Linked DNA regions of Saccharomyces cerevisiae S288C. The protein of the gene in region 1 interacts with the protein of each later gene in a biochemical or structural test. Each region holds a gene or a part of one and is shown on either strand. Other genes may lie near its edges. The genes, in order: TOR1, SCD6, MAF1 and PIB2.

What was found.
Region 2: of the proteins of TOR1 (region 1) and SCD6, one has a biochemical effect on the other in vitro, tested with the Saccharomyces cerevisiae proteins (one study listed by BioGRID).
Region 3: of the proteins of TOR1 (region 1) and MAF1, one has a biochemical effect on the other in vitro, tested with the Saccharomyces cerevisiae proteins (one study listed by BioGRID).
Region 4: the proteins of TOR1 (region 1) and PIB2 form a complex in vitro, tested with the Saccharomyces cerevisiae proteins (3 studies listed by BioGRID).

What each region holds. Positions count from the first base shown.
Region 1 is NC_001142.9:555,892-567,335, reverse strand, and holds TOR1 (phosphatidylinositol kinase-related protein kinase TOR1), read right to left. Parts: upstream 7,921-11,444; coding exon 508-7,920; downstream 1-507. Other genes in the region: YAE1 (Yae1p), read left to right, coding at 1-317; ARP3 (actin-related protein 3), read left to right, coding at 8,178-9,527; chaperonin-containing T-complex subunit CCT5, read right to left, coding at 9,734-11,422.
Region 2 is NC_001148.4:789,398-796,124, reverse strand, and holds SCD6 (Scd6p), read right to left. Parts: upstream 3,439-6,727; coding exon 2,389-3,438; downstream 1-2,388. Other genes in the region: transcription factor SPN1, read left to right, coding at 1-147; 40S ribosomal protein uS12 RPS23B, read right to left, coding at 358-730, 1,096-1,160; peptide alpha-N-acetyltransferase complex B subunit NAT3, read left to right, coding at 1,627-2,214; ANT1 (Ant1p), read left to right, coding at 3,921-4,907; YPR127W (pyridoxine 4-dehydrogenase), read right to left, coding at 5,005-6,042.
Region 3 is NC_001136.10:454,518-461,861, reverse strand, and holds MAF1 (RNA polymerase III-inhibiting protein MAF1), read left to right. Parts: upstream 1-3,758; coding exon 3,759-3,764; intron 3,765-3,844; coding exon 3,845-5,026; downstream 5,027-7,344. Other genes in the region: phosphoribosylanthranilate isomerase TRP1, read right to left, coding at 1-20; SOK1 (Sok1p), read left to right, coding at 615-3,320; putative DNA-dependent ATPase RAD57, read right to left, coding at 5,279-6,661; YDR003W-A (uncharacterized protein), read right to left, coding at 6,958-7,080; RCR2 (Rcr2p), read right to left, coding at 7,108-7,344. UniProt on the Saccharomyces cerevisiae protein: Mediator of diverse signals that repress RNA polymerase III transcription. Inhibits the de novo assembly of TFIIIB onto DNA.
Region 4 is NC_001139.9:449,697-453,768, forward strand, and holds PIB2 (Pib2p), read right to left. Parts: upstream 2,409-4,072; coding exon 501-2,408; downstream 1-500. Other genes in the region: PGD1 (Pgd1p), read right to left, coding at 1-261; dolichyl-diphosphooligosaccharide--protein glycosyltransferase subunit STT3, read left to right, coding at 2,708-4,072. UniProt on the Saccharomyces cerevisiae protein: Functions as an intracellular glutamine sensor that directly activates the TORC1 signaling pathway, to promote cell growth when glutamine is available. May play a role in repressing NPR1 activity independently of TORC1 signaling.

The DNA.
Region 1 (11,444 bases):
ACGGAATAGTGAGTTCTAAAGAAGAAAAGCTGCAAGAGGGTTTCAATGATGGTTTCCCAACGGGCGCTAAATTAGGGAAACAAGTTGGCATAATTATGGGGATTTTACTTGGCCTACGAACACGTTTTGGTGATGAAGATGAGGACCTCAGTAAGGCATATATTGATGCTCAAAAAGAATTACGCATTAACAAAGTACTTAGTAAGTCCATATTTGATCCAAACTTTGACTTGCAAGAAAAACATCCGCTCATAACAAAATGGACTGATATTGCCAATACCTATTGTGAAAAGTACCATGTGCCATCTATCCAATAAAGTTGTTTTAAATGGAGTTGATTTCACAATTTATGTACCTTATATCATCCTTCATTTCACATAATGACGAGATATTACAAAAATAATGATAATAATAATAATAATACACAATACTTGCACACGTATACAAATGCGTAATACAAAAAAAATAAATAGTAAACAAAGCACGAAATGAAAAATGACACCGCAGTCACCAGAATGGGCACCATCCAATATAATGTTGACATAACCTTTCAATAGAAGTGGCTTGTTGGATCAGTTTATCAACCTGCTCAGGGACGTCTAATTCATTGAACCTCTTGATATCATTGCCCGTTAATTTATCTGTAATACGTCTCAAAACAAGCATTGCTCTGGCGTTTTTGGTCTCATTTTGTTGTTCTGCTTCCATATTTGCCGCTTCTTCGACAGTAATTGCCCCCTTCCTTAATAATTCACTAGGATTAATCAACGGCAAAGGAATTCCAGTTTGCTCAGTAAGTTTTTGTGGCGGTAAATCAAATCCCCAATGGATCAAAGGATCAAGCGCAAAAGCTTCCAAGATCGCCATTAATGATTCTTTATTATCTCTTAAGACTCTCATGACATTTTCACAAGTAATTCGGAAACTGCCTTCAATTCCACTAACTTCCATTGCGTATGTTAACATCCTAGTTAGTCTAAATGGCACTTTTTCTGGATACTTTTCTCTTAAGATGGCAGCTTCAAAACAATCGCCGAAATCAATGTGGATAACTTTACCGGTGATTCTATCTAGCATCAGGTTGCTTGGATGGCGATCACCTAGTCCCAGAATATAACCAGTCATGGACATAACTGCTAAAGATCTCGTATAAGTTGTTCTACGTTCTAGCCATGTCTCTGACGACCTACTCTTTAACCATAATATTTTATAAAGGTCTTGGCCTTTTGTATTATCTAAAGCGTACGTGAATACTTCAATTTTTTGTAAAAGAGTCAAATTCTCATAATCGGGGGCCATTTGTAACATAACCCAATGTTCAATGTTCAACGGAATTTTTTTGGCATCACGGTGTTCTCTGATCAAAACGTGGAATGTGTCACTATTTGGTACCCATCCTAGTAAACCAGATTTAGGCGACAATGGAATAGCCGGGTATTGTTGGATATCCAAATGTCTCTTGAAACACTCTGAATCATTCTTCAACAAAGTGTTAACTAGACCAAATAATTGCATAACAAGGCTATCTTGTCTTATATCTTCATGTCCCTTTAAAACGTATTTATAATCTTTACCGTCGCTACCCTTGATGGAGAATTTTCTTGGCCTTTGCTTCGAAGAGATCACAGAAAATAATGGCTCAAACTTCGCTATTCTAATGGTAGGTTTTCCTGGGAAATATGTCCCAGGAACAGCCAATTCGAGATCATGAGTAGCCAGAAGCTGGGGAGAAACATGCTGTAAGTCTAAGGTTTGTAACTGTGGTATTTGACGTGTTATTTTTCTGAAGACGTTATAATAAATATCCCAAGCTTGGTTCAAATTATTGATGTCTTTTGACTTTTTGTAGTTATTCAACCATTCGTAGGCATCGTTCAAATCTCTACCAAATGATTTCTGAAACGATACCTCACTTAACGTTTGAGGCTCATTGCCTAAGTGTTTATGTAAAGGTTCTAAAGTAGAAAACATTTTTTCTATGTTATGTTCAACGAAAAATTGGCGGCTCGCATCTTCCAGTCCTTCATACCATAATTCGTGCCATAGAACGGCTACTCTGATCAACTCGTGACTAACTAATTCTGCCTGGTTTACCAGGACTGGACTATGAATCCTAATTTTCTCTATTATTGAAAGAGCCGCTTTTTGTCTTGAAACAGATTCAGACTTGATCGCGACAGTTAAAGGATACACGAGAGCTTGTGGATGAGCTTTCCCTAAATCAGAAAGCAACGACAAAAGGGAATTACTCACCGTAGGATCTGGCTGATGTATACGAGAGATCAACTGTGGTAAGACTTCAAGCCAGTTCTCTATTTTCATCAAATTGAAGCCTTCATACATGGCTTGTGAGACTTCTTTAATACCACCAAAGTTAAATAAAAGAGTCAATAACCTCAACGTGTCTTGCAAACAACTTGTTTCTAATAGAGATATTGAATGAAAAAAGCCCTTGATCGCTGGAACAACATGTCTTTGAATAAGCTCTAGCGGGTATCTGTTGCCATTAATAGTCAAAGAACCACTTCCTAGGATACTACCGTCAATCCGCACATTATCATTATTAACTGCCGTGTCATCATCATCATCATTCTTACCTCCGTTGAGCTTAGTCTCTTCCTGAACCATGGATATTACTTCAAAATTAGCTAAGGCCCAATTATGCCATGCCTTGTACCAATTTTTATCGAAATGTGTAGCCAATAGATAAGAACCAAGAATTGCATCCGGATTTGTGTTTCTCCAGTTCGGTTGTGTTGCTATTCTCCACTCACCTTGCTTTAAAAAACATCGAGCTAATAATTTTGTGTATTCCTCAACATACGGAGCAGTACTTGCACTTGAGAGTTTGACACTTTGCGCGATCATATTATTCGGATCCAAACCAAGATCATGCGCTAACCTGGATGTAAATCCTATCAAGTGGTTTAATGCTTCTTTATAAGCTCCTGTAGCCCAAATATATTTTAGTTGCGCGTAAACAACTGGGGGAGGAGCTTTGAACGTATTTGGTAAACTAGGATCGTTGCCTCCTTCTAGTAGCATATTCAATGCCTTATTTGCTAGCCTCATTCTACCAGATTTTCTGCACAAATTTGCAAATTTTATCCATATTTGCAGGTCTTGCTTGGGCTTTATTACCAATGATCTTACTCTAAGCACTCTTTGCCATAAATCGACATTTTTTTGGCAGCCCAGCAGTCTTTTTGTCCAAAGATTTTGATAGTGAAGTTTTTTCTCGGAATTAGGTGGCAATTGTTTATACTTGATGATTTCCTCAAACTCTGTTATTATTTGAGTTCTAACAATAACGCTATATGCTCTATTATAACTTTCATTGATCAACGCGGAAATTTCAGTCACAAGCAAATCTCTGGCGTTTAATATATGCTTACTAGCATTGTCGTAATCATTCTTGTGCAAGTATAAAATTGCATCAAAAAATTCCTTATCTGGAGATTTAGGTTTCATAACGCTGATATATTGCTCAAGCATATCCCACTCTCCCAACCCCCACGCAGCACCAGCTGCCAAGGGAGCTATTAGCTTCTTAGTTTGTAGCTTCGAAACTTTCCACTTTCTAGCTGCCAATTGCGACAACTGTTCCCATTCGCCAAGGGCATGAAGGGATCTCATCTTACCGAGTGTAACGCTCACGGAAGTATCACCTGCCTTTTCACGTTCATTATAAGCATGTAGTGCATCTTCCCAACGCTCTAATTTTTCAAACCATGTCTCCTTTAATTGAAGTGAATGATGTTGTTGGGCATGCTTTAATATACCAATTGCAGCATCCGTTTGATTCAGCTGGTTGTTAATGCTGATCAATGATTCAATAGTTGAGTTCTCAGGCTCTTTAATAAATTTAATCTCTTTATAATGTAGCGCTTTGGCATAGGCGTGACATCTTTCAGCATACTCGCCCAGGCTTTGAGTTGGTATTGGTAATGCCTTGTCATCGTGTTCCATAAATTCTACCAGGTTTAACAATGTTTGATGTATTTCTGGTGGATTTAAGGGAGAAGATAAGGCTATACATAATGACCCAATTAAATCTTCTTGATATTGGCTATAAAGTTCGGTCCAAACACATGCGAATGCGGTATTAAAAAGTTCTTTGGCTAGTGGATAATACATGCTTGCAAGATTTGAACAAGCTCTTAGAGCATGGGAGGGTGACTCTTTTAATAATTGAATGGATAGACGTTTGCTCCATTCCTGCCAATCTTCTTTAGTTCTTTGTTGGCTAGAATTCCATGCACTTTTCAAAACTGATTGGTTTATAGGTAATTTTGCGACCCCAGCATCTGCTGCCTCCATTTGTTCCGCGGGCTTATAATCCGTTGTATTTGCTTCAAGAATTTTTGTGGGTAAAACATCATTGTTTAATATTCTGTTTGTCAAGTCATCATATATTGTGTGTTGAATATGTTTCTTCATTAAAACTTCATTAATGACAGGGATGAAGATAGCAAAGGATGTGCCCATTTGTATTAGCAGTAGACTTAAAGTATTCATAATGACTTTTGAGAGTTCGTCACTCGTTGTTGAACTTAGTACCCTAAGTAAAGAGTGAACAATTCTTGAGGACATCTCAAAAAGGTCAACATCCTTGGCCAGTTTGCCAATAGTAATTATTGCAGACCTTTGTAGGTTCCCGCTGGTGAATTCTGCCATTTGAACTATCTTGGGTGTAATCAAATGCGAATAACCTTCTAAGTTAGGACCAAACGATTCTAACAGTCTCAATACCCTTCTGGAGAGGACCTTGTCACTAGACTTGTCATTCTCCAAAATTACAAGGAACAAGGTCAGAGTAAGAGGGACCAATCTTTTGAATTCACCCTCCAGAGCCTTTGATATTGCTTCAATAACACTTACAAGCGTTATTTGTAGCTTAGCAACCGAAGAAAAATCTTTGATAGCCTGGAATATAGAATCGACATGAGGTCTTATGTGTTGCCTTACGATAATAATCAAAGAGCAAAGCTGTTGGAAGTAAAATTCTAATAGTGACTGAGAGCATGTACGCATTACGTCCAAAATAGTTGGGATGATCTGGTCCAAGAATGAAACACATTTTAGACCAAGGGTTTGAAAAATATGCATAATCGCTTGGATCACGGCAGTGTGGTAAGATGATAGGGATGGATCTTTTAGGATTTTTAGCAGGCAGTGAATGACAACAGTGGTATAATACTCATCATTCGAAGGAGACATGCCCTGCATGAGAAGAGCAATGTCGATAGGCGGGGCGTTCTGTTCTGTAGATATATCGGTAGTAGAGGTAACCTCACGTTCTTTTTGGCGATATGGGTCGATAGCTCCCAGTATACCTATCAAAGTGACTGTTTGTCTCCTAATATTTTGAGAGTTTTCTGTCTTCAATATATTCACCAATATACCCAATAATTCGGGATAGTCGAGTAAAGGATCTATCACGTAACCAGATGAGGCTGCAAGTTGACCAAGGGCCTTAAGTGCAGCTTCTCTCTTGAAAGAGTTTGATTGATCCTGAAATGTTTTGATAATTAAAGGAAACAAATCCTTAAGATATATCTTCATATCTTCGCCCCCTACAACAGATAGCTCACCTATAGTTCTCAGTGCAGTTGATGCAACCGTTGAAGAGGTATCTTGGAATTTTGGTAAAAGAACATTTAAAAGAGGTTCGATATAAGGTTTCGCAACATCTTTACTCGACCTGATAAGAGTACATAACAAACTGGCAGTTTCTTCCTTTTCTCGAGAAGAAGTTGAGAATTTTAATTTTGTTAGCAGTTCCAGTAGTATTTTTCTTATCGATGGGATGACGTATGCAGGGTTTACGGAAGACAACCTACCGACAAGCTCCATTGCTACTGACTGAATATTGAACGACTCATCGTGCAGTGCAGTAAACAAGAGTCTCAAATTATCTGGTTGTGCCAACTGGGGATCGAAACATGGATTAAGATTCTTTAAAACTTCTAAACGGATATCTTGTAAAGGGTCCGCAATCGTAATGGCTAGAAGCTTTGATAACACTTCAGATACAGTGTTCAGAGAGTGTAGTGATGTTTGTTTGCAGATGTTATCCTTGACGTAAATTTCACAAGATGTCAACGCAGCTAGTTTCCTTACTCTGGGATCTGTATGCTCAATGTAAGAAAGTGCAACAATTCTCACGAATTCCACCAACGAAAATCTGCTTTTGATATTTTTTAACATTCTAAAAGCTTGTATAATGATTTTTATATCATTATTATCATCGTTACTTTCACCAGTTTTCTGTAGGATGTTTTTATTTCTCCATTCTCTTGCTCTTTCTCTCGAAAACGATGGTATCTCCATTGGTGACCCTGGCTGGATAAATGGTGTTCCAGATAAGGTTGAACAGACTAGGTTAAGCAACTCGTCATTTATTTTGGGGCCTAGTGATGGTATTCTCTCAGTCAGAATTTGAAACGTTTCCTGCATATAGTCGGAAAGAGGGCATTTGAACATCAGGTCCAGTATATTTCTGTTTAATAATTTACCTAGAACGGGGCCCAAGGGAACTGCCAATCTTCCGATGCAGTAGAAAATTTCATTTTCAAATTTCTTTCTGAATTTGAATTTCGTCTGTAAATCATGTTCAATATAATCAAGAATTTGTTTCACATAAGGTGCGATATCGGGCCCGACTTCATATGCAATATCACCAATCGATATTAAAATCTGTGGTTTGTCATCTTTGAGATGTGGTATTTTATTTGCTGGAGCATTGGTTAAAATCTCTAAATAGTTGTCCATAATTTGGTGCAAATATTTGCCAGCAAATAATTGAGGATTGAACGATGCTAATAGGGGAACAATCTGGTAAATCTTTTCTCTAATCATTTTCGCTTTATGATTTTCATAAGCTATGCAATTTAGACACATTTGGTCGAACACTTGATTCAAAAAGGGATCCTTCAAAAACAAGATTTCCTTATAAACCAACAAACTTGCATGGATGCATTCTAATGTGTTTACTTGAAATCCGTATTCACAACTTGTAGCCAATCTCTGCACCCACTGGCTAGTTAACTGAGGATCCCTATTTCGTAGGGTGGAAAGACATTTGGCCAATGTAATGGACGCATCAATTCTGATCACCAAATGTGGGTCTCTTAGTGCTCTCCAAATGTTATCTAGTATGGAATTCAAGTATTGGTAGAGTAAATAAGGACAATTCTCTGCCAACGCTGTTATAATCAGAAGCGCAGCATGTTTAGCATGGTCTGGCTTCGAACTCGAGAATGAATTCTTTTCCGTGGAGGCAGTAAGCCATTCTAAGCAAGACTTTATCTCAAATTCCACGAAATCAGAGGTATATGTACCTCCTGGAACGGCTAACTTGCCCAGAGTCTTTGCAGCGAGTCTCATGACCTCTACATCATTAGAAGGTATTAGCCCTCGAAGGTAACCAGCCAGTCGTGAAGTTTCGTTAGGCAACCTTTCAGTATATGCGTAGAATGAAATCAAAGTGTCTATGGATAGAACAGCCCCTACCCTAGTGCTCGTTTTTTTTGTATGGACCAGCTCCAAAATCTTATTGTTTATGTCATTTGAAACTGCTTGGAACTCTTCTATCGACAATTCATGTTCCAAGGATACTAGTAGATCAAATAATGAAATACTGGCCAATTTTCGTTCCTCCTTGTAATCACTGGTTAATTCGCGGAAAATTTTCTCCAAAATGGGCTTAAAATTTACATCCCCATTACTGCCAATCACCACTCCATCAAACCTACTAGAAGTCAGACCGAATTCATCCCCGTTCCTGCTCGCATTCATTTTCATGTTCATATTCACATTCAGATTCGGTGCCAACGGCACATTTCTATCCATGTCCATATCGTTGTTAGCCGCTTTCAAAAGTTTACTCTTCCAAATCTGCTCCTCATGCGGTTCCATATCAATGCAAACCTGCTAGCCGGTTGATGTATGTTTCACTTTACCAATGACTCTCTCGTGAAGCTACTATGGCTCTTTTTTAACGTAAGCTCAAGAAGACCCTTCGATAAGGACTTTCAGTAGTCACCCGGCTGTCCGCGGCTTCAAAATGGCGAGAACCCCTTTTCAAAAGTTTCAAACAAAAATATATGAGAGTAGTTTAATCAAGAATTGGCCCTACCGTAAGGCCTCACGATTGAGCAAGAAATTAGGATTCAATGTCATACTTAAACAATCCCGCTGTTGTCATGGACAATGGTACCGGGCTGACCAAGCTCGGTTTCGCCGGTAATGATTCTCCCTCCTGGGTCTTCCCTACTGCAATAGCCACAGCTGCACCTTCAAATACAAAGAAGTCCTCGGGCGTTGGTGCGCCCTCAGCAGTTAGTAATGAAGCATCATACTTTGGAAATTCCACCTCTGCAACCAATTTCAATGGTGCAACAGGTGGTTTGCTGTCTAATAATTTATCCGGTAAAAGAGGTACAGAAGATTTGGATTTCTATATTGGAAATGAGGCTTTAGTAGCATCCCAAGGACCCTCTTACTCTTTGAGCTATCCAATCAGACACGGTCAAGTGGAAAATTGGGATCACATGGAAAGATTCTGGGAAAATTCCATCTTCAAGTATTTAAGAACAGAGCCTGAAGATCATTTTTTCCTATTGACCGAACCACCACTGAATCCTCCAGAAAACAGAGAGCAAGTGGCGGAGATTTTTTTTGAATCATTTAATTGTGCTGGTCTATATATTGCTGTGCAAGCAGTTTTGGCTCTGGCTGCGTCATGGACCTCTTCAAAAGTCACGGATAGATCATTAACTGGTACTGTTATAGATTCTGGTGATGGTGTCACCCACGTCATCCCAGTGGCGGAAGGTTACGTCATTGGCTCAGCAATTAAAAACATTCCAATAGCCGGTAGAGACATCACATTGTTCATCCAATCCTTGCTAAGAGAACGTGGTGAAGCAGACACTTCCTTGAGAACTGCCGAAAAGATTAAGCAAGAATACTGTTACGTCTGTCCAGATATTGTAAAGGAGTTTAACAAATTCGATAAAGATCCTTCTAAATTTGCCCAATTTGTGGTGGAAAACCAAGAAAAGACAAGGAGAAAAGTCGTAGATATTGGTTACGAAAGATTCTTAGCACCTGAAATCTTCTTCAATCCAGAAATTGCATCCTCAGACTTCTTGACTCCTTTACCCACGGTAGTGGATCAAACTATCCAGGCTTGCCCTATTGACGTCCGTAAAGGTTTATACAACAATATTGTACTATCAGGTGGGTCTACCATGTTCAAAGATTTTGGACGTCGTTTACAAAGAGATCTAAAGTCTATCGTAAATAACAGAATCGCACAAAGTGAGCTGTTAAGTGGAACTAAATCGACTGGTGTAGATGTTTCCGTGATTTCTCATCGGAAGCAGAGAAACGCTGTCTGGTTTGGTGGCTCGCTGCTGGCACAAACAGCCGAATTCAAAGGCTACTGTCACACTAAGAAAGATTATGAGGAATATGGTCCGGAAATTGTTAGAAATTTCAGCCTTTTCAACATGGTTTGATTATTGAGTCATGACTCATCTTATAAGGAAAAAGGTACAAAAACAAATGCAAATAACTGAAACGCCCCTCACTTCATTTAAATATACGTATACAACTGATTATATACACGTATATGTACAATCAAGTAACCCCAAATGCTGATCTGAGAAAAAAAATTGTGGGATATGTGATTAAAACTTATCTTTTATTATTTATTTATACAAAATCAATACTCATCTTTACCACTAATGATGACGTTATCAATCTTTAAAATCATTCTACATAATTGAGTAGCTAAAAGAATTTGCTGCTTTTTGCCAATAAATGGATCAACGACAAATAGTTCCTTCATGTCATTAGACCCGTAACCTAAGCAATCGACACCAATGTTGGAAATCTTTTCTTTCAGTTGTTTACTTTTCAATGTAGACAAAGTTCCGATTGGATCAAGACCAGAATTTTCAGCCAAAGTCATTGGAATGGTGTCTAACGCTTGGGCGAATCCACGGAATGCATACTGATCAATACCACGTTGCTTATCAGCTTCCTCAGAGACAGCCAGGGACATAGTCACTTCGGCTGCTCCCCCACCGTAAACTACACGTGAGTCTTTAACCAAGTTACGTACCACACATAGTGAGTCATGCAATGCACGTTCAGCTTCATCCACGATCATTTTATTGGAACCGCGAACAAAACATGTTACAGTTTTTGTTTCTTTACTTTGCTCGATAATCAGCATACGATCCTTAGTAGTACCAAACTCCTGCTCGTAAATTCTGGAACATGTACCTAATTTATCCTTAGACAAGTCTTGAAATCTTGGAACAATGCGACCGTTTGTGGAAATGGCAATGTGTTCTAGTTCTTGGCCACCTACCCATCTTACGGCAGGTAAATCATTCTGTAGAAGTAGATGATTGGCCTCATCGTCAAACCCCCATTGGCATATAACAACATCTGCGCCCGCTTTCTTCACATCGTCTATCATTTCTTTGAACTTATCTTGTTCATAAGTCTGTAATTTTTGGTATTCTTCTACTGAAGAAATGTCTAATTTATGCTTGGTCTTTGGTTTAGGAGGTTCAAATGGACACGTTAATATAGCTAACTTAACACCATCAGAGCCCTCTTTTGGTAAAACACATTTAGGCATTTGTGGATGAGAAAAATCTTTATCCAAAATGACACCATTAATCAATTTTGAATCGCTTATAGATCCGCCAACCCGTCCTTGCATTTTGATTAAATCGAAATCCACGTCTTTACGATCTTTGTCCATGACATTTATGACGGCTTCCACAGCCATTTCAGCAAATCTATCATGATCCTTGGAAACAATTTTGGAGCCCAAAGAAGTTTTGGCGGCCCTCAATAAAAAGTCCCTGAACAATTCATCGTTTGACGCAGAAATGTCGTCACATGTTTCTTCTAACTTGGAAATGGCTAATTTGGCGGCTTCATCAAATCCATTAGCGATTTTGATTGGATGTATACCCTTTTGAATTAACTCCAATGCTTGGTCAAGTAGCGCACTTGCCAGAACAACAACACCAGTAGTACCATCACCAATTTCATCATCTTGAGATTTGGAAAGTTGTACTAACAACTTTGCAATCTCATTATCTAGCTCCATTTGGGACAAAATTGTAGCACCATCGTTAGTGATGGTGATTTCACCGTCAGGTGAAATCAAGATCTTATCTAACCCACGGGGACCCAACGAAGTTTTGATAATAGAAGCTACTGATCTAGCAGCCAATATATGTGATTTCTTGGCCTCTAATCCGTGCTGTCTCTTCTTGTTACCTTGATCCTTCACGATAATAAAGGGTCTACCCATCTCGTCTTGTGCCACAATGGCGTTCGACAGATCCGGCATTTCCATAGGAGGTTGTTGTGGACGAGCAGCCATTTTCAAATATTGCTATAAAAAT
Region 2 (6,727 bases), on another chromosome or scaffold:
CAAACCACTACTGATTACAAGTATGCTCCTGTGAGTAACCTTAGCGCAGTACCTACAAACGCAAGAGCAGTTGGTGTTGGTTCCACTTTAAACAATAGTGAGATGTACAAGAGGTTGACTTCAAGATTAAACAAGAAGCATAAATAATAACAAAACAGGTAATTCCGTAATGCTTTGAGATATGTATCATATGTATGTGTTTTTTGTTTAAGAAATTCGAAATAACACTAGGTGGTTTTATTAAGAGGATTATTAAATAAGCTTGATGTTTGATGATTTTGAAGAATTATTTAATCTCTTAAACATATACATACACAGTAGAATTTTTCGAATTATGAAATCGTAATATAACTCTGCTTAAGATCTTGGCTTTTCCTTCTTTTCCTTCCACAAAGCCAACAAGGAGACACCAGAGACCTTAACGACCTTGAATCTAACACCTGGAATATCACCCTTAGCCTTACCCTTTCTACCGAAACCGGCTAGCAAGACTTCGTCATTTTCATCGACAAAGTTCAAACAACCATCGTTTGGAACGAAAGCAGTAACCTTCTTACCGTTCTTGATTAATTGAACTCTAACACACTTTCTGATAGCAGAGTTAGGTTGCTTGGATTCGATACCCAACTTTTCCAAGACAATACCCTTGGCGTGAGAAGAACCACCGAATGGAGAAGACTTGAAGGCAGTACCCAATAATCTCTTCTTATAGTTGTTTTCGGCCCAACGGCTGTTTTAAACGATTAACTTTTGACAAAACATAGTTTCATCAAAAAGATTAATAAATTTGTTAGTAAATGAGGTTCTCGTAGTGAATTCATTATCTGAGATGGCAGAAATTCATTGTAGATTTTCAGTTTCATCACTTGTGGACTTTCTTATTCAAAATTCGCAAAATGGCCTTTCTCCTCCTAAAAGCTGATGAATTCAAATGGCTATAATAAATTAAGTAGCCCTACCCTAGTTTCTTGCAAAATTATTCTCCCTTACTTTTTCAAGCTTCCAACTCATTTCATGGTAGCAATGGCCGATCCTTTCTTCTACTTATTATGAAAATCTTTCAACCATAGTGCAATCTTCTATAATTGTACATACTTGTTTCTTCTGTGGACACGCAACTTTCTAGCGGAGTTCAAACCTCTTGGCTTACCTTTACCCATCTTTTCTTGTAGTTTGTTGTTCTTACCTGCTTCTGGAATCTACAATATTAAACATGTAAGCTTCATAACCTTACCATCACTAATAGTATCTCGATCTTGAAAATTGCGAAAGCGTGGAGACAAGGAGCTCCTACAAACACAGTCATTCCAATGCGGTAGTGCTTAGCAAAACCTCGGCTGCGCAGAAGGAGCTTTGATACATAGAAGCTAGCCCACCTACCTAGGCGCAAAAAACATAGCGGTGGGCGCACGTTGGTGGGCCTGGGAAGAAAAAAATTCCCTCGTCGATAATATAAATATGTATGGGTGTTTGGAGATGTTCGGATGTTACTTTATGCATGTCCTTTTTATTAATATTAATGTTGAAGCAATATCTAATGAAGTATATATAGTTCACAATATTGCTTATGTGAAAGATAGTGGAACATTGAGAATATTCAAGGAAAGAGACAGGAGGATTCGAGAAATGACAACAATTCAGCCTTTTGAACCTGTCGATTTATTCAAAACTAACAATGTCAACCTTGATATCTTAACAGAAAACTTCCCTTTAGAGTTTTATTTTGAATACATGATAATATGGCCAGACCTTTTTTTCAAAAGTTCAGAAATGACTGTTGATCCTACATTTAAGCATAATATCTCTGGTTACATGATGGCAAAAACAGAAGGCAAGACCACGGAGTGGCACACTCATATAACTGCAGTGACAGTAGCTCCAAGATTCCGCCGAATATCGCTAGCTTCGAAGTTATGTAATACTTTGGAGACCATGACCGATGTCATGCCCCATGAAGTCAACTTTATCGATCTTTTCGTCAAGTGCAATAACCAATTGGCCATCAAACTTTACGAAAAATTGGGATACAGTGTCTACAGGAGAGTGGTGGGATATTATAACTCAGCTGAAGATGGGTATCCAGATACCCTGAAAAAAGTAGATGACAATAAAGATGCTTTTGATATGAGAAAAGCTATGGCTAGGGACAGGAACAGAAGCGTACGGCCGGATGGAAGAAGCCATAAATGCTATCCACATGATGTAAGATTTTAAGGTATGTATTACCTCGTCCTCATACTCAGAACATAATAATGAACCTCTGTGCTATTCATATTTTGCGATACGCACTAAAATAATACTATCCAGAGGCGCGGACTATAATACTATTAATTTGATTTTTGTATGTACATACTGAATGATATACTTAATTTACATAGAAACATCATTTTAAAATTCAACGTTGGAAGGAGGTTGCGAAAACTGGTTGGCTGGTCTGCTGTACGAGTCGTTTTGGTTCTGATAGGCGCCACTATCATTTTGGTAGTTATTTCTGTTTTGGTAGTTTCCACGTTGGCCGCCTCTTCCTCTGTTTCCTCTGTTTCCCCTATAATTTCCACGCCCACGACCGAGGCCTCTAGAGTGAAATCTTGGTCTGGCAGAAGCTTGTCCAAAGGTGTCAACGTTCAACATTTTTTCTTCTTGCCATCTCATATTGGTATTAGTTTCAGTAGAAGTGGAGATGGTGTCGAAAAAAGACGATTTTTTATTATAAAACTGCTCATCAGATTCATCCTGCTTGTGAACAGCTGATTCTAATTCTTTTTCTTTTTCCACATCAGTGGAATCACCTTTCGTGAATTTTGCATTATTTGATTGAAAGTCAAAATCTTCATTCGGAATATCGACTTTGAAATTGCGGTTGGATTGAGGAGGGCGATTACTTGATCTATTCTTGTTTCTTTGATATTTTGGCTCATTTTCACCATTTTTACCTCTTTCCCTACTTTGCGAGTTTACATTGGTGTCTTGAGGAGTGCTCTTATCATTCATACTAGCAGTAGCGGTTTCTGTCGAAGTTGGGGTGTAAACACCATATCCAGCGACAGCTGCTGGCACATTGGATTCGGGCTTTGGAACTTGGGGGTTTGTTTGCACGTGTGCTTGAGCTTGAGCCTGGGGTGGAGATTGAGCTTGTTGAGGAGGGAATTGTGAAGCGGGTGGCATCATTTGAGGAACAACCGGCTGTATGTCATTGATGTTAGCATCTAAAATGCTTAAATCCTTGACTTCACTGCCGTTGAACTTTACAGAATTGTATACCGTAGGATTCGGATAAATTTCTTCAGGACCCCAGTTCTTGCGACCTTCTGTACCAAAACAGCGAACTTCTTTCAAAGTCACGGTACCCTTTTCAGAGTCAATATCTTCTAACAGCCCCACATATCTGTTGTCAGTCACAGAGATTAAAGAAATAGTTTTACCGATGTACTGCGACATTGCCTTGCTGCTGTTTTTCGATGAATGCTTCTTCTACGACATCCTCACTATTCGTTTATTGTTCTTTCTGACTGCCTCCACGTTATTCTTTACAATCGCGGGTACAGTTTAATTTTTCCACCGTGTAAGGTGACGGGACTATGGTACTGGACTGAGGAATCATTACATATACGTCAGTAATGGGTATCTTCATAATAAACACCTTTATCCATTTAATATGGAAATCGATTGCACTGTCATTTAAAATAGCGGCATCTATGATACTTAGAGGGCAATTGCATTGATAGAAGTTGTGTCATTTGGTGTTCTCCTCGGATCGAGTTTTAAATCCGATTTTTGCATCTCGGTCCGAGTGACTATTTCAGATAATTGGTAAATATAAGAAGAGCAAGAAGATGTGCAAAAAATAGAGAAAATATGATGCTGCGTAAAAGTACAGACACCCTGGAAGCTAGGCCAAGATTGTTACGAGCATATCATCAATGTTAACTCTAGAGTCTGCATTAACTGGCGCTGTGGCTTCGGCAATGGCCAATATTGCAGTTTATCCGCTGGATTTATCGAAGACGATCATTCAGTCACAAGTATCTCCTTCTTCAAGTGAGGATAGTAACGAAGGTAAAGTTTTGCCCAATAGGAGATATAAGAATGTTGTAGATTGCATGATAAACATATTCAAAGAAAAGGGTATTTTGGGTCTGTATCAAGGTATGACAGTCACTACGGTGGCCACATTTGTCCAGAATTTTGTTTATTTCTTTTGGTACACATTTATCAGAAAGTCCTACATGAAACATAAGCTGTTAGGACTGCAATCACTGAAAAACCGCGATGGTCCTATCACACCTTCTACGATTGAAGAATTGGTACTTGGGGTAGCAGCTGCCAGTATATCGCAACTTTTTACTAGTCCCATGGCTGTGGTAGCTACAAGACAACAAACAGTCCATTCTGCAGAGTCTGCCAAATTTACCAACGTTATTAAGGACATTTACCGTGAAAATAATGGGGACATAACTGCTTTTTGGAAAGGTTTAAGAACAGGTTTAGCATTGACGATAAATCCTTCCATCACATATGCCTCTTTTCAAAGACTTAAAGAAGTTTTTTTCCATGACCATTCCAACGATGCTGGCAGTTTGTCAGCAGTGCAAAATTTCATTTTGGGTGTCCTTTCCAAGATGATTTCGACTCTAGTTACGCAACCCTTGATTGTCGCTAAAGCAATGCTTCAAAGCGCTGGCTCTAAATTCACTACTTTCCAAGAAGCGCTACTATACTTGTACAAAAATGAAGGGTTAAAATCTCTTTGGAAGGGAGTTCTTCCTCAATTGACAAAGGGTGTCATTGTGCAAGGTCTGTTGTTTGCTTTCAGAGGAGAATTGACAAAATCTTTAAAGAGGCTAATATTCTTGTACTCTTCTTTTTTCCTAAAGCACAACGGACAACGCAAGCTGGCTTCCACTTGAGAATCCTTACTATTACTGAAATAAGCACATTGCGTTTAGAATCTTTACATATCAAATTTAAAATTTATATAAACAATGGAGATTCACTTTTTTAACCTTACGCCATTTCGTATCTGTCACCAACAGTATGGAAAGTAGTCAAATATTTGTTAATGGCATTGAACTCTTGATCGGTAAGTTTGGTTTTCTGTTCATCAAAGTTTTCATTAACCTTGGAAATAGAAGAGCCACTTGGAATTGGGATAAATTTGGCGCCACTGTATTCCGGAACTTTGTTCCAGTGCTTAACCCATCCCAAAGCCAGTTGTGCAAGAGTAATGGAGTTGTTTTGTGGGCGCTTGTCGACTATTTCTTCCTGTAGAAACCTGACCAAGGTCAGGTTTTTTTTCAAAGACTCGTCGCTAAATCTCTTTAACGACTTTCTAAAGTCACCCTCAGGGATATCAGCGTTTGACTTCAATTGACCTGTCAACAATCCTCTGCCCAGTGGGGAGTAGCAGATGATGGACAACCCCAATTCAGCACATGTTTTAGCAATTCCGTTGTGTAAAATGTCATTACTGAACAAAGAAAGTTCCACTTCAACGCAGGTCAAAAACTTTCCCCAATCCTTGTGAATAGCTCTAATTTGCTCTTCATTAACTTCACTTAATGAAATACCGCCAATAACGCCTTCGGAGATCATCTCAGCAAGCGCTTCGAACGATTCGTAGGGGTAGACCTCTCCTTTCGTGCATAGGGAAGTGTCGATTCTTGCGACTTCGAAGATGTCGATGTAGCCACCAATAGCACTAACTGAATTCTTTACGCTTTGTACAACATCATCGTGACTGCCTCTGGGGGTTAAGGTAGCATTGTCTGCACCACCTTTACAACTGATAACCACATCCTTTCTCAAATCTGGGTATTTCGCAAAGAAGTCGTGAACATACGACAAATTAATAAAATCGGGACCATAGAATTCACCAACGTTGAAAAAGGCCTTGTGCCCACGTTCTCTGGATAACTCAACCACTCTGTGCATGGCCTCGAAAGCCTGCGACTGAGGGATAGGCTCGGCTCTCCAAGTCAAACTCATTAAACCATAGCCAGTATCTAACTTGTGGATGTTGTTTTTCAAATCGGCGACAGACATTTTATTTTTACTTTTTTTGGTGTATATTTTAGTTAATATGTACCTGTTTTTCTATTCTACATAACATAGAAAATGGCAAGGAAAATAATTTTAAGAGAGAGTCCTGAGATGAAGTAAAAAATTTGGTAAATTGACAACCCCTTATATAATAAATGCCTATTCTACGGTTCAATAGACACTCTATTCTTTGAGTAATTTTGAGGGAGAGCAGCAATGATTAACTTAGTACCGTTCTACCAAGTACGCCCTTGATTACCTCATTAACGAACAAAAACGCAGATCCCTTCCTAAGGCGGCCGAGACGGCCGCTTCATCCGTCTCGGCCGGGTGTCATTCTTCTAATATATTTGGTAAAGGACTTGGGAGATGCGCAAAAGGGAGATAGTTGCGCTTTTTTTTTGTCTAACAACTAACGGGTAAAAATGTGGACAGCACGAGGAGTAGTTTAAGAAATAACTTTAAAAAAAAATATTGGCAAAGCAGATATGCAAGAAGTTACGGGTAAGGCTTCTAGTAGTCGTGCATGTGTTGATCCCCTACGTTGATACTATCTATGTGTGCAAACACCAGCTTTACAAACAAAAATTTCATATAGTAGTGTATTTTATTTATCTTATGTACAAAATCTATAGTAGAGTTCACTACATTTTCTTTTCATTGCTAAAAAAGCAGTTTCGTGCAAGTA
Region 3 (7,344 bases), on another chromosome or scaffold:
GTGAAATTAATAACAGACATACTCCAAGCTGCCTTTGTGTGCTTAATCACGTATACTCACGTGCTCAATAGTCACCAATGCCCTCCCTCTTGGCCCTCTCCTTTTCTTTTTTCGACCGAATTCTTAATCGGCAAAAAAAGAAAAGCTCCGGATCAAGATTGTACGTAAGGTGACAAGCTATTTTTCAATAAAGAATATCTTCCACTACTGCCATCTGGCGTCATAACTGCAAAGTACACATATATTACGATGCTGTTCTATTAAATGCTTCCTATATTATATATATAGTAATGTCGTTAACCGTTGATTTTTACTGATTGGTCTCTGCCGTGCGGGTGAGCGGCGCGTCCAGACGGGCGGGTGCACGTTTCTTTTTCTGACCATTTCCCTGTCAGCTCTTTTAGATCGGGGCTGCCGTTTGAAAAGTTTTATCATCGCCAGACATGCCATAAGGAATATCTCCACCGCCTCTAACTGTCCCTAACTCGGTCTCTTTCTTATAACTACCATTACTCAGTGTTGAGAGATTGGTAGAAATATACGCGTATACGTTCATTCAAGACTTATTTTCAGCCAGTAATATTCCCTACTCCTCTTCCGTTTTCAGAATAGAGATGGACCAGCCAAGGACCCATTCAGGACCCACGACGGCCAGCAATCCTGCCCCCAGCTCCACCAACTCGTCATCTGCTCCCAGCGCGACTAATTCAAAGCAGGAAAGATCCTCTTCGTCACTGTCCAAACCTTCGTCAGTGGTTCCTTCAAAGGATTCACCAGATGGTGACGCTATTGCTAAGACTCAAGCAGCCGCTTTAAAAAACGACATGAAATCTGGTGATACCAGTACATTAGATGGGTCATCTCAAAATATAATTCCAAACAGAGCCTCAATGCAAAAATATATTGACCAGTCATCAGATCTGCTGTCGAGGAGCTCCGGCGTAATAACGCCCTCCATGTCTTTGAATGCAAGCACTAACGCCACTAACAACGATAGCAGTGGCAATTCAGCTAATAGTAGTGATTTGAAGATCCCTATAGACAGGGACAATACTATATTCAAGACGTTCGACACCAAGACTGGTCAATTCTTGAAAAACGATGATAATGAAGAAGAAATAAGGAGGAACAATAAAGTTGATTCGATACCCCCAAAGAATATTTATACTAATATCAACAATCCATCTCCCTCCCCACCACCGTCGTCAAAGCAACCACCGTCTGCATCCGCGCCGCAATTGCCACCAGCAACGGAACCACACAAAGAACAAGCAGCACAACAACAGCCACCAGGAAATGCTTCTAACTTTTTAAGGATCTTTTCAAATAAAAAAATGAGGTCGCATTCCGTACCCACTATTTTGCATTCTTCTTTAAGAAAATTATCATCCCACAATCAATACTATCGTAATCAAAATATTCTTTTAAATCATCCAACTCCTTCCGGCATATCAAAGAAAAAATTTTCTAGAAACCATCATCAACCATATTTGCATTCTAATAATCCTCTCAGTTCAAACCCTCTTTCATTAAAGCGCGCAATTTTTTTAAATCAACAAATATCAGGTAACGCAAGCACTAACGCTAATAATGACAACATTAATAATTCCACTGCCACTTCAATGACAAATCAAAGCTTCCTATCAAGCTCAAACTTTGACTTAACTTTGGAAGATAGAATAAACTACATAAAGGCTACTCCAACGCCTGTTCCATTTCCTCCTATAAATTTGCAGGGCTTAAAAGAGATTGACTTACAGGAAATTCTGAAAAACCCACAACTAAGACATGATATAATATTCGACCCGCTACTACAATTCAGGCCAAATCTTGATGGCGAAAGAGGGAATAAAAAAAGACAATTGGCGAATATCTATTGGAATGATGTTCAAAATGAAATTTATGTTTACTCTAAGAGGCCTGAAATATTCCAATATAACAGGTCAAGACTAGTCCCACTTTTTGACACTTTAAGGGATGTATTGTTAACGATAGTCCCACAAAAAGAGTCTCCGATGATAAATAATGTACTGGACACAGAATTGAACATTCAAGAACTATTGAAAGGTTCTCTGATAATGTCTAACTTGTCAGGCTGGTTGGCTGATTTATTTAAACATCATTGTGCCCCCATGAGGGACCCATGGGTGGATAAAATGAGCAACAAATTTAAAGAAGCTGAAAGAGACTCTTCTTTAACAAGGTTAATAGAAGGTTTAAGGTTGGTTTTTCAAATTTTGGAAACAATGAAATTGGATATTGCCAATCATCAAATAAGAATACTAAGGCCAGCTCTGTTAAGTAATGCTGTAGAATTTGAGAAACAGTATTTCAACACTCTTATAGCCTCTAAAAGGGTGAATTTAAATACTTCCCTACTTTGGTTTGATAAAAAATTCAACGAAAATGTTACCGCTGGCCTTGTTAGAAATCCAAGTTCTATCACTATCCCTGATGTCTACAATATTTGCATTAGAAGTATAATTAACCTATTGTCATGTAGGAAGATGGTGAGAGAGTACCCAACTCCGCTTTCTTTTGATCATGCAAGATTGATCCTTTTGCGTGCCGATATACGTCAAATTGTTTGTATTTTAGTTTGCCGTTTACTTTTCCAACAATTGGTGGCCAACGATCCTTCAATGGATAAAGCTACAAAGGAATATGTTATTCATACATACTCAACTAAAAGGCTGAAGAATGAAATTATCAGCATTATAACAGATGAACACGGCAATTGTAGGTGGACTAAAAACACAATGTCTATTGCTGTTCATCTTTGCAAAGTTATTGACGATCTTCACAGGGAGTACGACAACAATGGTAGTTGTGAACAAGCCAGAAGGCCTCAATTGCCTTCATTAGACAACTCAAAAATAACCTTTGCTAAATCTTGGTTATCTAAGCAAACTCAACCCCTCAGTGAAGTTTATGGTGTCCTAGAAAATAGAGTATTCAAATCACTAGAGGACGCTATCTTCAACAGGTCCGAGTGCACAATTGATGGACGCGTTAAACAAGACTTTGTGTACCTCTACAACACAAACAATGGCAACGTAGGTAGCACTAACACTTTGAGTACTACTACAGATACTGCTAGCGTTAAAATCAGCCCGTCTTTGATGTCTCCTTCTAAAACCTCCACCACCACACCTACTGGCAATGCGATTGCATCCAGAGGTTTATTCGCAGCAACAGAGCTGGAGGAATTCGAGAATGTTTATCGCCACTTATATGCATTAATCAACCTTCATTGGTCCGTATTCGGTCCTCATTATATCGAAATGTTAGGAGATAAAGTTAATAAAAAAGGAATATAACTATTATCGGTAATGGAGGAAAAAAAAATTTTTTTACCATTTCTTTATGTAACTTCATATATCATTTTTAAAGCGTACATTTCTTATAATTTCACTTCTTAAATGCAGTCACATATTTACTGCTATCAGACAAAGTAAAGCGTCGCTAATTACTTGCCTCCACGAGTTGCTTGTCAATCAGGGGCGCTTCATCTCGCCAGCGAAAGCGCGTTGTCCATCTTATTTAACAAGAGAAAAAAAAGATAATTCAACTTAAAAAGAACGTGCTATCAGCTATATAAAATGTAGACACATTATGTATCAGTGTTTCTTTAGCAATGCGAAAAATATAGGCTTAGTGTCATTTACTTAAAGTTTAGAAACTCTGCACACTTCACCAAGAACAAGTTTAACCGCTCATTACTCCAAACGGATTTTTTTGCCTAAAGAATCACGACAATGAAAGTATGTTATCACTCTAAAACTGCCATGCTCTTTATTCGAAATTACTAACATTGTACCTGAACCCTCCTTTTCTTCCTTAGTTTATTGATGAGCTAGATATAGAGAGAGTGAATCAAACTCTCAATTTCGAGACAAATGACTGTAAAATCGTGGGCAGTTGCGATATTTTCACAACAAAGGCGGTTGCATCAGATAGAAAATTATATAAAACTATTGATCAGCATTTGGATACTATTTTACAGGAAAATGAGAATTACAATGCTACCCTTCAGCAACAGCTAGCTGCTCCCGAAACAAACCAATCACCCTGCTCGTCGCCATTTTATTCTAATAGGAGGGATAGCAACTCTTTTTGGGAGCAAAAGAGAAGAATATCTTTTAGTGAATACAATAGCAATAATAACACTAACAACAGTAATGGCAATAGCAGTAATAACAATAACTATTCTGGACCTAATGGTTCTTCTCCAGCAACTTTTCCCAAAAGTGCCAAGCTAAATGACCAAAATTTAAAAGAATTAGTCTCGAATTACGATTCTGGCTCTATGAGCTCATCGTCTCTTGATTCTTCTTCTAAGAATGATGAGAGGATAAGAAGAAGGAGCAGTAGCAGTATTAGCAGTTTCAAAAGTGGTAAATCATCGAACAATAATTACAGTTCTGGTACAGCAACCAACAATGTTAACAAAAGAAGAAAATCTTCGATAAACGAAAGGCCAAGCAATTTAAGTTTGGGTCCGTTTGGTCCCATAAACGAACCGTCAAGCCGCAAAATATTTGCTTATCTGATTGCTATCCTCAACGCTTCTTATCCTGACCATGATTTTTCATCGGTTGAGCCAACGGATTTTGTCAAAACATCATTGAAAACTTTTATTTCCAAATTTGAAAACACCTTATATTCTCTTGGTAGACAACCAGAGGAATGGGTCTGGGAGGTAATTAATTCTCACATGACTCTTTCTGATTGCGTCCTTTTTCAATATTCACCTTCAAACTCTTTTTTGGAAGATGAGCCTGGCTATCTTTGGAATCTTATAGGTTTTCTTTACAACAGGAAAAGGAAAAGAGTGGCTTACCTTTACTTGATTTGCTCGCGTCTAAATTCGAGTACAGGCGAAGTGGAAGATGCCTTGGCAAAAAAACCTCAGGGAAAGCTTATAATAGATGATGGCTCAAATGAATACGAAGGAGAATACGATTTCACTTATGATGAGAATGTAATAGATGATAAATCAGATCAAGAAGAATCCCTACAGTAGTTTTAAACTTTAATTTGTGAATTTTCCTTGTCTTACACCTATAATCGTTAAAAACAGTCCCTTTATGTCTACTATTGTAAGTTTCTATTTTTAAAAAAATACCCTTTTCAACTATGTACCTTTATGACAATATTATATTTACTAATTGAACACTTTAGCGAGGATTGAATAATGTGCGCTACTATATAAAAAGACTGCCTTCATCATATATTACTGCAAAGCTCTTAGTTTCTTTCGAATACGGAACTTCAATCAGGCTGTTTCTATTCCTCGCTTAGTAATTTGATATGCAATTTGACCAGGCTTAGCGAATGTGGAATATACCACTTTCATTGTCCTCTTAACTTGCCAGAAGCTTGCCGAATCACCTCCCTTATAAAGATGAGCTTCACCTCTTTGAATTATTGTTGAAGCCTTGAAAGATTTTTGAAGTAATATTCGTGTTGAAACGTGATTGGACCAAGTCAAACCGAGATTGGGGACACGATAGTCAAATTTCCGTTTCTTACTTTGTCGACTGATAGGACTTGATGAATTTCGCTCAACGGTTTTATTCTCAATTATGGGTGGTTTCTTTTTTGAAAAAAAATCATAATTCCGGTCATTTACAGTGCTCATAACTCTCTCGATTAGCATATAATCTTCATCGTCTGATAGAATTTCATCGTTATTGGAACTTGCTCCAAGCAGCGAATTCATCTGCCGATAAAGAATGGTTGAGTTCTTCCAGCCAACTAGCCACCCTAGCTGATAATCATAATCAGTTACATATGTCCTATGTGCCACTGGACTGTTAGCCAGTGGTTTATCCCCAACTTGATTAGCCACCACAACGGATAATGAATAATCGTGGGCCAGTATTTGGAGCTTCTCTGCCATCCTATCCAGATAGTTTTTATTTTCTTGGGATTCTCTGAAGGACTTGTTCTGAAGCTCCACCCTCAAATGATGAGAAATCGAATCTATTATCACCAATTTTATTGAACCCTTAGATCTCTCTAATAAAATAGGCAACTGAACATTGATTATGTGTTCCTGATTTATTAGGTCGTTACAGCTGACGGTGAAAATATTTGATTGTGTAATACCTAGTTTTTCATAAGCCGGCCTAGACGATAGCATACTTTCCAATCTCTGAGTTGGTAAATCGCCCTCAGTGGTAATATATACACATTTGCCGCCAAGCCCTCCCGCAGGTTCGGAAAGTTGGACACTTAACGCCAACTGCATAAGTAATTGAGATTTACCAGTAGAGCTCTCTCCGAATATTTCTGTAATGCCATGCGTGAATATGCCTCCACCTAATAATTCATCCATAGCTACATCAGCAGTCGTGAAACACTCAGGACCGTTATCTGGGCTGATAGAGTTTTTTTCACAGATTTCTAAGTACTTTTCATTATATTCATGAACAAGCAATTGCTGAAATCTGAAAACCTCATTTATCGACCTTTGTATTAGCCTTGCCAATTCCTTCGGAGTGAGTGTTAAAAAATCTACGACGCAGACACCATTTTGCCTTACTGCATCCAAAAGATATGAAAATTCTTCATCATAAAGGAGTTTACTTTCCGGTAATTCATCGTAAAGGTCCATATACGTATTGTCAAATTTTATTGATAAGGCCCTAGGCATGAATTTACACACTTTGAAAAATGGTGAATTCCCAGTGGTTGTTCATCATTTTCATTTTTTGAATTCAACGCGAAAAAGCCGAAGATTAACCGGCATCTGAATTCTCATGTTACTTAGAGGATAATGTGTGAGAAGAAATAGGTAAAGGAAGAATATATTTATAATATATAGGCAATTAGACTAATCAAAATCACCGTCCGTATAAATCGTTGAATGGCTTTTCCGTGGACCGAGTCGAAAGCGTTCCGATGAATTGACTGTTCTGGACGTCGATACTACCAGCTCTCAAACCTAAATCAATAGTATGTTCCTACTATAATACACAACTCGGAATAATCGCGACTTTCAAAGAAACGAAAACTTCTGTACTTCTTTTTTTTTTCAGCACTCTTATAACTATTTTCTATACCGCAAGTCATGCGATAATAAATTCATTAAACGAAAAATCACTTACTCACTTTCGCTCTTGCCGGCGCGTTATTAACATCAAAGGAAGAAGATTCAACAGTCGGAGAATGCTGCTCGTTGCGATTACTCTGACCATTAACGAAATTATTCATAGTGGGTCTTAGCAGATTGAAGTCGAATTCACTTTCACTAGGAATTCGTACGACGGCAGCCACTGGGCGCTGTAAGTCTTTATCAGTCGAGCTAGCTTGTTCTTCTGATAAAGGCGGTGGCGC
Region 4 (4,072 bases), on another chromosome or scaffold:
AGTCTGGAATCTATCGTTCAGTTGCAAAATCTTGTCTCTGATATGTAGGTATTTGGCCATACGGTCAGCCTGCTTGGATCCTTCTTGGTCTATGTTTGCCATTATCTGTATGAATTCATTGAACTGCAATCGCAACGGCAGAATTTCATCGCGTGCTTCGTTGATCTGCTTACACACTTTGTCCCTGGTTTCATTCTCGTTCTTAGCCAATATCACTTGTAAATCATCTAGCTTGACGCCTGCCGGTATAATCGAGTCCATTCCGGTTGTCTTTACTGCTGTTGTGTCCGTTTTGCGCTGCCTAATTGAAGAAGTCTTGGTGACTGTTTCTGTTGTTCTCTTTAAAATTTCGCTCGGCGCCATACCGAAAATCCTCAGGAAAGTGTTAGTGTTATATATTATATTATATTATATCATATTATATTAAGTTTATTGTATACATAATGGTCATACATCAATAGTGTACATCCTCTCTTCGCTTGTCTCGCAAAAAATGTTCATCAGAAACTACTCCAATTCCAGTTTGCAGGCACAGAGCCGATAACACTGCCCAAAACATCATTACCTTCTTCTTGTTCTCCCCCCGTATTCTCATTATCTGCTTCTTCGTCGTTCGACTTCACCTGGATGGGCGTTGTTGTGTCTCGATCAACCGTGGCATGCTCTTGGGACGAACCGCCCTTCTTTGGTCTGAAAAGAGCGTTCATCTGCCTATTCTTGTAGTAATTGCGTAATTTCTTCCTATTGTCATTATCGTCATCTTCGCCCTCCTCAACGTTTATGTTATCCTCGTTCGTGTTTGCGTTATGGTTCGTGGTTGAAAGGTTCTCGTACTCGACCAGACAGTCATCGCATATTTTACAGAGAGTGCCACCGCCATTTATGCCACCGTTGTTTAGTTCGTTGATCATTATAAAATTTGCCTGCGAGTCCAGGTACAGCCAATGGCGCAAATGGTCTTGACAAAAGATGTCCCCGCAATGCCTGCAATGATGTTTCCTTTCCCACAGGGTAAAAGGCTTATGGCAGTAACGACAAGAATTCCTCTTACTGTCCGGAATCCAGTGGTCCTTAGTGGGCGGGTTTACTCTGGCAGAGTTTCTGTTTGAAATAGTTGGTATTAAGTTGATTCTGTCGCTGTTCGGAATAGAATTCGGGAACAAGTACGAGGATATTTTGTTTTTGTAGCTTTCCAAGATTGACGATGTGTTGGATTGTACGCTGGATTGAGAAGATATGATCCGTAGGTTGTTCGCATTCTGAACGCTAGCGGATTGCGACTTGCTTGGATTAAAGCCATGTTCCAGGTTAGATGCCTTCTTGTAGTAAGACGACAATGTTGCATTCAACAGATCGTCATTAGTTATGTTTGTCTCTGAAACTTTCCTCAGCACGGCGGGGATGTATAGCGGTTTTTTAGGGTTACTGATCTGTCTTACATTTGATTTATGTTTATTGGAATTAAAATTCAGATTAGTGCTCGAAGCAGGCTGCGGTAAAAATTCCAGCGAGGGTTTCCTTAGCATCTGCTGATGCGGCGGTTTCGCCGCATGATTCACCGAATCAATAATGACGTTCGTGTTGCCAAACCGCAGTTGGGACATCGAGCTAGAATTCGTTGTAGTCAGCTTGTCGACAATATTTTCCACCTTCGACGTCGACGATGACGACACTGAAGACGTGGACGAAGATGAAGACTCTTTCGCCTTGTTTTCTTTACTCAACCTCAAATTAGAACTAGCATTCATTTTGAACGACGACAACTTGCGTAACGCCTGCGTGGTTAGATTCTTTTGTCGAACCTCGTCATCGTCATCGGCATCATCTTCTAACTCATTGAACACAGTTTTGCTCTTTGTATTCTTGCCCCTGCTAACATCCACCACGCTATTGGTGGGATCTAGTTCAGGGTTCGATCTTTGGTCATCCGTGAATGGCAACGTCTTGCCGATCTCCTTACTAGCAGAAGCCTTCCTACCATCTATCTGCCCTTCACCGAGCTTGCTACTGTGGCTGCTGCGAACATTCTCCTCAGCAGAGTTCTTCCTCAATATGGACACCATCGCCGGAGATTGGATCTGCTGCTTTCTGTCAACAAACCCAGTGCCTGCCCCTGTTGAGCTCTCTTGCTGCAACTGCTGCTGACGATGTTGATTTACCATCGATTTCAATGAGATGCTGCTCAAAATACTCTGTTCGGAATGCGTTGACGCCCTGGGCGCTATCTTCTTCTTTTCAAACGTGATGGGAGATGTCACGGTGTCAGCACCGCTTTCCTCATCACCTTTCCTGCCACGGTAGTCATGGTTCCTTGGTCCCAGGGGAACTCCTCTGCCGTCTCGCTCATCACCGTCCTCCTCCTCTTCCTTGATCGCGGGCGTTTTGGACACACTATGCAACGCAGTCATTCTGGTCTCCACTACAACTGTGCTGCCCAGTCCTCCTCACTGGCGCTTCGTACCTATTCCAGGTCTCAATAGTCATATCATAAGCTTTCTTTTACTTCTCTTCGCCTCTGCTAAATGGTCACCATCGACGGTTGCTTTTTCGCGCTGGTCGAGAATTGACAAAATAAGACACGAACAAAAGAGCAAGTCTGAAAGAAAGAAAAGCAGCAAAAGCACGGTCTAATTCAACGTGACATAGCATCCGCAATCGCATTCACAGCCGTAAATCCTAACTACCATTCGTCATTATCACAGCTGCCATGGGATCCGACCGGTCGTGTGTTTTGTCTGTGTTTCAGACCATCCTCAAGCTCGTCATCTTCGTGGCGATTTTTGGGGCTGCCATATCATCACGTTTGTTTGCAGTCATCAAATTTGAGTCTATTATCCATGAATTCGACCCCTGGTTCAATTATAGGGCTACCAAATATCTCGTCAACAATTCGTTTTACAAGTTTTTGAACTGGTTTGACGACCGTACCTGGTACCCCCTCGGAAGGGTTACTGGAGGGACTTTATATCCTGGTTTGATGACGACTAGTGCGTTCATCTGGCACGCCCTGCGCAACTGGTTGGGCTTGCCCATTGACATCAGAAACGTTTGTGTGCTATTTGCGCCACTATTTTCTGGGGTCACCGCCTGGGCGACTTACGAATTTACGAAAGAGATTAAAGATGCCAGCGCTGGGCTTTTGGCTGCTGGTTTTATAGCCATTGTCCCCGGTTATATATCTAGATCAGTGGCGGGGTCCTACGATAATGAGGCCATTGCCATTACACTATTAATGGTCACTTTCATGTTTTGGATTAAGGCCCAAAAGACTGGCTCTATCATGCACGCAACGTGTGCAGCTTTATTCTACTTCTACATGGTGTCGGCTTGGGGTGGATACGTGTTCATCACCAACTTGATCCCACTCCATGTCTTTTTGCTGATTTTGATGGGCAGATATTCGTCCAAACTGTATTCTGCCTACACCACTTGGTACGCTATTGGAACTGTTGCATCCATGCAGATCCCATTTGTCGGTTTCCTACCTATCAGGTCTAACGACCACATGGCCGCATTGGGTGTTTTCGGTTTGATTCAGATTGTCGCCTTCGGTGACTTCGTGAAGGGCCAAATCAGCACAGCTAAGTTTAAAGTCATCATGATGGTTTCTCTGTTTTTGATCTTGGTCCTTGGTGTGGTCGGACTTTCTGCCTTGACCTATATGGGGTTGATTGCCCCTTGGACTGGTAGATTTTATTCGTTATGGGATACCAACTACGCAAAGATCCACATTCCTATCATTGCCTCCGTTTCCGAACATCAACCCGTTTCGTGGCCCGCTTTCTTCTTTGATACCCACTTTTTGATCTGGCTATTCCCCGCCGGTGTATTCCTACTATTCCTCGACTTGAAAGACGAGCACGTTTTTGTCATCGCTTACTCCGTTCTGTGTTCGTACTTTGCCGGTGTTATGGTTAGATTGATGTTGACTTTGACACCAGTCATCTGTGTGTCCGCCGCCGTCGCATTGTCCAAGATATTTGACATCTACCTGGATTTCAAGACAAGTGACCGCAAATACGCCATCAAACCTGCGGCACTACTGGCCAAATTGATTGTTTCCGGATCATTC